Coturnix japonica: one gene and its partner. The protein of the gene in region 1 interacts with the protein of each later gene in a pairwise test. Links are inferred from orthologs where the notes say so. Each region holds a gene or a part of one and is shown in the gene's direction. Other genes may lie near its edges. The genes, in order: EML1 and ISG20L2.

Evidence for each region.
Region 2: the proteins of EML1 (region 1) and ISG20L2 interact in binary tests that used the Homo sapiens proteins (3 or more experiments, as listed by UniProt). The two-hybrid records come from large-scale screens. The link is inferred for Coturnix japonica from reciprocal best matches to the Homo sapiens genes EML1 and ISG20L2.

Annotation. Positions count from the first base shown.
Region 1 is NC_029520.1:43,885,330-43,889,234, forward strand, and holds the start of EML1 (echinoderm microtubule-associated protein-like 1), read left to right. Parts: upstream 1-1,553; 5' UTR 1,554-1,716; coding exon 1,717-1,783; intron 1,784-3,905. UniProt on the Homo sapiens protein: Modulates the assembly and organization of the microtubule cytoskeleton, and probably plays a role in regulating the orientation of the mitotic spindle and the orientation of the plane of cell division.
Region 2 is NC_029540.1:644,470-648,374, reverse strand, and holds the start of ISG20L2 (interferon-stimulated 20 kDa exonuclease-like 2), read left to right. Parts: upstream 1-1,242; 5' UTR 1,243-1,301; coding exon 1,302-1,892; intron 1,893-3,426; coding exon 3,427-3,627; intron 3,628-3,905. Other genes in the region: protein RRNAD1, read right to left, coding at 1-203, 285-347, 421-717, 791-922. UniProt on the Homo sapiens protein: 3'-> 5'-exoribonuclease involved in ribosome biogenesis in the processing of the 12S pre-rRNA. Displays a strong specificity for a 3'-end containing a free hydroxyl group.

The DNA of each region.
Region 1 (3,905 bases):
AACTTCTTAATTAAAATTGCTATTAAAAAAGAGCTCTGCTTCTCTAGTACTGTACCTCATGTGGAAAAAAAAATCCCATGCATATGTATGTGCACATTGTTTAGAAAAAATGTGATATTTTGGAAAAGGTTGATAGATTATGCCTAAAAAAGGCTGTGAGAAAACCTAGGGGATCTTTGTTAATTTTAAAGGTGAGAAAGAATCACAGCTGATATTAAACACAGTATTTTTGAAGTCGTTTTCATTTTTTATTATATTTTATTTTTAACTAAACAACTACAAATTTCCTTTCTCTTATATCCTGCAGCTATAAAACACAGTGGTTTCTGTCACGCTGGTTTGGAGATCTCTTCAATTCTACCAATACTGGCAATGGCAATTCAGAAGGGAGCACTTTTCACCCTACTTTAATGTGGAACTGATATCCCAGCCTAATTTTATAGCATATTTTTGTGTTAGCGCTGCTATGGCTCAGTGATTGGTGCAAAGACTCGCATATACAGAACTCAGGCCTGTAACTGGATCCATATGATGGAACTGTCATGCAAAAAAAGCTCCTTAAAGGACTGAGACACAAAGTCACACTTTAAGCGTTCTGGCGTTTTTCAAGAGGAAAAGAGGTGCTGCAGAAATGCAACATGTTATTTTTGTCTTGTCTGCAGAAGAGCTTGAAATAAAAATGGCTTTTGATCACTGAACGCGTCAGCATTTCCAGCGCAGAAACTGAAGGCAACTTTTACACTGCCTAATAGTAATAGGACGAGGGGGAATTGCTTTAAACTAAGACAGGGGAAATTTAGGTTAGATGTAAGAAATTCTTTACTCAGAGGGCAGTGAGGCACAGCTGCCCAGAGAGCTGTGGGTGCCCCATCCCTGGAGGTGCCCAAGGCTGGGCTGGATGCAGCCATGGGCAGCCTGAGCTGGTGGGGGGCAGCCAGCCCATGGTATTGGGTTGGAACTGGGTGGACTCTGAGATCCAGCACTTATCTTCACCTTGTTAGTGTAAGAGAACATCAGTCACAGTACTATGGTGACAGCTCTATCCTATGGCCAGAGGAGCTGCCTCTGAAATGAAGACACCGCAGGGTTGCTCCAGGGAAAGCAAGGGGAGCTTTTAAGCTGTCAGAAGGGGGATGCTGAGGCAGCACCGAACAGCCAGGCTGCCCCAGACCTGCGGCAGAACTCCTGCCATACACACTCTGACTTGCAACTCCCCGCATCCCAAACTTCAGCCTCCGCATCGCTCCGGGGCACCTTTCCAAGGACCTCCCAACGGCGGACGCGTTTCTCCTCCTATCCCCGTTCCCTTCTGGGCGCTGCTCAGCAGGGCACACACCCCGAGGGGCCCGGGCTGCGGGCGGCTGCCGATGAGAAGCGGCCGCAAGACGCCGCTCTCCGCTCGGCTTTCTCCTTCACCGGGCTCTTTCCCGCGAGATCCCGCGGGCCGGCCGCCCTCTGACGGCGGAGGGGAGATCCCGGGCGGCTCCGGCTCGGTCCGCTCAGCAGCGGGGAGCGCCCCGCCCCGCCCCGCCCCGCCCCGAGGCCGCCCCCTCTCGCAGCCCCGGCGCGGCCACCGCCCCATCAGCGGCGGAGTGAATGGGTCGCCATGGCAACTGAGTGAGGCAGGCAGCAGGCAGCAGGCCGCCTCCGCTCCTCAGTGCGCGGACGAGGCGGCCGCCGGGACGGGCGAAGGGAGGTCGGTAACGCGGCGGCAGGATGGAGGACGGCTTCTCCAGCTACAGCAGCCTTTACGACACCTCCTCGCTGCTCCAGTTCTGCAACGGTGAGGGCGAGGCGGCCGCGGGGAGCGGCGAGGTGCCGGCGTCCCGGCGGGGCGGGGGCGGAGGCCGGCGGCGGGGAGAGGGGCCTGCAGGCAGGGCCTGTCCGCACGGCCACGGCCGCGATGCGGGGAGAGAGGGAGGGAGGGAGGAAACTTCGCCTTCAGCCTTCCCGTTACGCGGCTCCGGAGCCGCGGGGAACTTCTGCACCTGGCCCGTAGGAATTCGTGTACGTGTGTGTGTGTGTGTGCGTGTATCCGGCTTGGAGCAGTGCTGAGCCGCCGGCACGAGTCGTCACCCATCGCCGTGCGGCACTGCGGAGTGCGGCCATCCAAAGGATGGGGCTCCGTGTGTGTGTGTGTGTGTGACCGTGCTGTGTCACAGCCCGGAGCCACGAGTGTGGCACGGAGCGTCCTGCCAGCCTGGCCAGGTGGCCCTGGGATCAGTGAGCTGGGGCTGGCAGCCTCCTGAGCTGCTCTGCTGTCACCTGCTTCTCCTTCGTTTTATTTTTAATAGGCTTTTAAGGTTTATTTCACTTGGAGGCTACCTGGTGTGATGTGTGTGGTGGCCTGGAAGGCGAGCTGTTTGGCCCACGGTGACAGCTTGTGGGAAAGACAGGAGGAAGCAAGGAATTTGTCGGTATTATCAGAGGAAATATTTGTGATGCTGGCCTGCATAGCAGTGGGGATTGTGTAGCTGGCTGGTGCTTGCTGTTATTGGGTGAAAATATAGTGCTGCTGAGAGTTGTTCCTGGAAAACTTCAGAATGAAAATCAAATATTTGGAGACTGGTTCCTGCTTTTCAGCAGCAAAATAAGGAGCTTTCCTAATCTCAGATTTCACTGAAAACTGACGTGTGAATCTCTAGTTCCTCCAGGTCTTAGCAGCTCTCTGGCTGTCTGCTATCTGCGGAGCTGGAGCCAGGTTAGTATTAAATCGCTTTTATGACAACAACTGCATCAAGCAGCTTGCCTGCCTCTTCTCCTATCTTCATATTTTCCACATCCCACAGGATTCTTCTTGCGGTGTGCTGCACAACAGGGGTAGGGTTACAGAAGGCAGTGATACATGTGGACCTTGATGCTGTGGGAGTAGTTTCTCAGAATGTGAAGAATTGAGCTATGCATTGTGTGGGGCTGCTGTGTTCTCTGAGCTCTTCCAGAGGGAAAACCATGAGTGTGTACGGGGGTTGTGTGCTAATAACAGATGCCTGTTTTGCCTAAACTTAGTAAATATTTTATTGCGAGTAATTTTTAGCAAGAAAATATGCATCACATTGATTCATTTCAAACTTCATACCCTAATCCATTTGTAAGCAAGCTGGCTTCCTACCAAAATCCTCGGGCTCTGCTTTTGCTGTGTTCATGGCAGTAGCGTACATGTGGGAACAGTGGGAGGAACAGCACTTTCTGAGCAGCTTGAATATGCGGAGTATCTGATTTCTGAGAACTCACACTTCTTTTGATTTCTTAACTCTGAGCACGTAGTACGTGCGGTGAAAATACACCGTATATATTTATGTTGCATATAGGTTTGAAAATCTTAGTTAATCCTTAAGTTTTATCATCGAGAATGAGTTACTGTAGGGATTATTTGCCTGTCTGCCATGTAATTGTCGATGTAGAGGCTCAGGAAACTGTTGTTAACTTGAATTATTCTGTGTTTATAAAAGAAAGTGGTTTGATTCAAAGCCTTTCCTTTAATGAGTTAACATTCAGTGAGACTTCATTATACGACATGAAGCAGAAAAGGAAAATGGGGTCTTTGAATAGTGCCTTGAGATGATCAGATATTTCATACAGACACATGACCCATAAGGGAAAAAAATGCAGATGGGGAATAACCAGTGAAGGTTTTAGGGTTGAAAGAGGAGAAGAAAACTGCTTTGGAAGGAAGCGGAAAGCTCTTTCAAGTATAAAGAGTACTGTGAGAGATGATGTGGGGCTGGAGTAGGGCAGGAATAAAGAAGAATCAAACAGAGAGAGCAGGTAATAGGCATTTGAAGAAAAATATGATTTTGGTGTAGGGCAAAGCAAATTAAAACAACGTGGATGGTAAGCACTTGATTTGTCCATCTTTGTAGGTTGAAAGGTTTTCCCTTCTGAAGAGAGGAAAAAAGGATCGATTC
Region 2 (3,905 bases), on another chromosome or scaffold:
GCAGGATCTGTAGGGTTTGAGGCTGTGTTTGGGTGGTGTTGGGACAGTGGTGGCCTCCTACTGTAACCTCGTGCCTGGGCTTTCTCCAGCTCCCGCAGCAGCTCCTGATCAAAGCGCTCTGCAAGGCTGACCAGGCGGCCATCACCTTCCACAGCAGTGACGGATAAACCAAGACTGAAGGCCAGGAAACGTGAGAAGTGACCCTGAAAGGATATAGGAGGATAAAGGGACATGCTTGTATAGGGGACATCCCTAAGGGTCACCTCACAGCAGCCCCTTCCTACCTGCCCTGCACCTACATCCACCACACGGTCACAGCCAGTCGCTTTGCTCAGCTGCTGCAGTACCTATAAGAGGGGAACGTGGGTTGACATGCAAGCTACGAGGTGACACCAGGAGGGTTAGAACTGAAGCACCCACCTTTCCCAGTCGCCAGATCTCATGCTGTTTCTTAGGCTTCACATGGCGACGCAAAAGTGGATGTAAACGGGGGCTTTGACACGGTGGACGTGGGGCACATCCCACCTGCCCCCTTGGGAAGGAAAGGGCATGAACAGCAGCGCTGAAAGCCAACAAGGAGAGCGGCCACACTGTGCCCTGCCCCACCATACCCCCATTCCCCAGCAGCATGGCTGCAAGCTGGGGGGGCTCTGCTGCTTCTAAGGCTGCCTGCCATGCAGATGGAAGCTTTGCCCACAGCCCCTCAGTGAAGAAATCCTGTAGGGGGGAATGAAAGATGCTGAACATGGGGATACGACGGAGACATGGAGGATGCACTGAGGACACTCACAATGATGTAGGAGTCGAGGAGGGGACGGTACAGGGATAGGAGGCGGACGATGTTGGCTGCTCGCTGCTGCTCCCAATAGAGATGGGGGGCACCTGCCATGGTTGTGACGTCACTCTGAAGGCGTGACGTCATTCAGAGCTCATGACGTCACTCTGAGCTCATGACATCACTCTGAAGTCGTGACGTCACCCTGGGGATGCCAATCTCTGCTTGTCCATGACCTGATAGAGCCACAAGGTCCATTCAGAGCCATGTCACAGCTCACAGAATCGCGATATAACACGGTCGCCACCCCCCCACCAACCCAAGACCTCCTGGGTCATAGAGACGCCCCCTCCCGCAGGCCAGAGCGGCCCCAAGCGCCACTCACCTCCCGCTTCCGCAGGCCCACGAGGCGTTTCCGTTGCCGGCAGTTTCCGCTTCCGTTGCCGGCAGTTTCCGCTTCCGTTAGTGGCGGTGTGGTGGGGGGGTGGGGGGGAGGGGAGGCCTGCTGGGAGCTCCCGGTTTCAACATGTCGGACCTGATCCTTAACGTCACCTTTGGGGTCGTCGATCGTTCCCGTAAGGTCCCATCCGGGAACCGTAAACACAAGAGATTTATTAAGAGACGCCAATTAGAACGGAAACGTCAACAGCTCCCATCTGCCGTTCAAACTAAAGGGGGAGGCCTAAAGAAATGCGGTGGTAGAGGCCGAAGGAAGAGGAAACGGACAAAGGGCGGAGGGGAACGGGAGGAGAACGGAAAGCAAGGCCCCAATGGGTCCATTGGGAACAACGAGGCTTCAACCTGCAGCACCCAGCAAGGAACGAGCACCAAAGGGCCACAAGGAGTTAATAAAACCCATAAGGGTTTAATAGGATCCTCCGGGTCCCCACCAGCACCCAGCAAGTTGGTGGCTATCGATTGTGAAATGGTGGGCACGGGACCCGGTGGGAGAAACAGTGACTTGGCACGTTGTAGTATTGTGGGTTATGAGGGGGATGTGTTGTATGATCGTTACGTGAAACCCTCGGCTCCCATCGTGGATTATAGGACGCGTTGGAGCGGCATCCGAAAGAAACACATGGAGAACGCTGTGCCCTTCTGCAAGGCACAGAGGGAGGTGGGGTGATATGGGGGGGGAAGGGGGGCTGTGGTCATGGTGGGCTTTGGGGGCTGACTGTGATGGCCTTTGAGGGCTGTCTGTAGTGGGCTTTGAGGGCTGTCTGTGGTGGGCTCTGAAGGCTGTCAGTGGTGGCCTTTGAGGGCTGCTTGTGGTGGTCTCTTAGGGCTGACTGTGGTGGGCTTTGAGGGCTGTCAGTGGTGGGCTTTGAGGGCTGTCAGTGGTGGCCTTTGAGGGCTGTCAGTGGTGGGCTTTCTGGGCTGTCAGTAGTGGGCTTTGGGGACTGTCAGTGGTGGGCTCTGAGGGCTGTCAGTGGTGGGCTTTGGGGGTTGTCTGGTGGTCTCTTAGAGCTGCTTGTGGTGGTCTCTTAGGGCTGCCTGTGATGGCCTTTGAGGGCTGTCTGTGGTGGGCTTTGAGGGCTGACTGTGGTGGGCTTTGAGGGCTGCTTGTGGTGGTCTCTTAGGGCTGTCAGTGGTGGCCTTTAAGGGCTGTCATTGGTGGCCTTTGAGGGTTGTCTGTGGCTTTGAGGGTTGTCTGTGGTGGGCTCTGAAGGCTGTCAGTGGTGGGCTTTGAGGGCTGTCAGTGGTGGGCTTTGGGAGCTGCCTGTGGTGGGCTTTGAGGGCTGACTGTGGTGGGCTTTGAGGGCTGACTGTGGCTTTGAGGGCTGTCAGTGGTGGGCTTTGGGAGCTGTCAGTGGTGGCCTTTGAGGGCTGTCAGTGGTGGGCTCTGAGGGCTGCCTTTGGTGGTCTCTTAGGGCTGCCTTTGGTGGCCTTTGGGGGCTGTCAGTGGTGGCCTTTGGGGGCTGTCAGTGGTGGGCTTTGGGGGCTGCCTGTGGTGGGCTCTGAGGGCTGCTTGTGGTGGTCTCTTAGGGCTGCCTTTGGTGGCCTTTGAGGGCTGACTGTGGTGGGCTTTCTGGGCTGTCAGTAGTGGGCTTTGGGGACTGTCAGTGGTGGGCTCTGAGGGCTGTCAGTGGTGGGCTTTGGGAGTTGTCTGATGGTCTCTTAGAGCTGCTTGTGGTGGTCTCTTAGGGCAGTCTGTGGTGGTCTCTTAGGGCTGCCTGTGATGGCCTTTAATTGCTGCCTGTGGTGGGCTCTGAGGGCTGACTGTGGTGGTCTTTGAGGGCTGTCTTTGGTGGGCTTTGAGGGCTGACTGTGGTGGGCTTTAAGGGCTGTCTTTGGTGGGCTCTGAGGGCTGACTGTGGTGGGCTTTGAGGGCTGTCTGTGGCTTTGGGGGCTGTCAGTAGTGGCCTTTGAGGGCTGTCTGGTGGTCTCTTAGAGCTGCTTGTGGTGGGTAGGGGACTGCTGAGGATATGGCATCTTGGTCCACATCCCAGTCCCCATCCTGCAGCAGATGGGATGTCTTCCCATGCTTCTGCTGCTCCCATTCAGTTGTACATCATAGCCCTAAGCTGTGATTCTCACTGATAGATCCATGCTCCTGGTTTTGAGCATCGCTCTGCTTGTGGGGCAGGACCCTCCATTGTGCAGCATGGTACACTGGAGCCTGTTCAAATGTTCTCTCTTTTCCTCCCCAGATCCTGAAGATCCTCTCTGGAAAGGTGGTGGTTGGCCATGCCATACACAACGATTTCAAGGCTCTCAAGTACTCCCACCCAAAAGCACTCACCCGTGACACATCCAAAATCCCCTTGTTGAACCGAAAGGGTGGATTCCCCGAGAACGTCAGCATCTCCCTAAAGCGCCTCGCCAAGGAACTGCTGCACAAAGATATCCAGGTCTGCTGCTGCTCCTGTTTCTCACTCCTCATCTCAGCAGCTGCATCAGGAAGCTGCTTCAAAGCTTCTTTTGGGGCGAGAAATTCCCCAGTGTCCCCAAGGAACATGGGGAACAAACAGGCAGTGTGAATAGGCTGTGGGGAGTATGCAAGAGCAGGGAGGTTTGCTCTGCTCCTTTGCAATCTGTGCTTAGGTAGGGGATGGAGGTTTGTTGTGTCCCGTCCTGGGGCTGGGGTATCCCAAGGTCAGTCACTGCCTTGTACCTCAATACAAGAGCT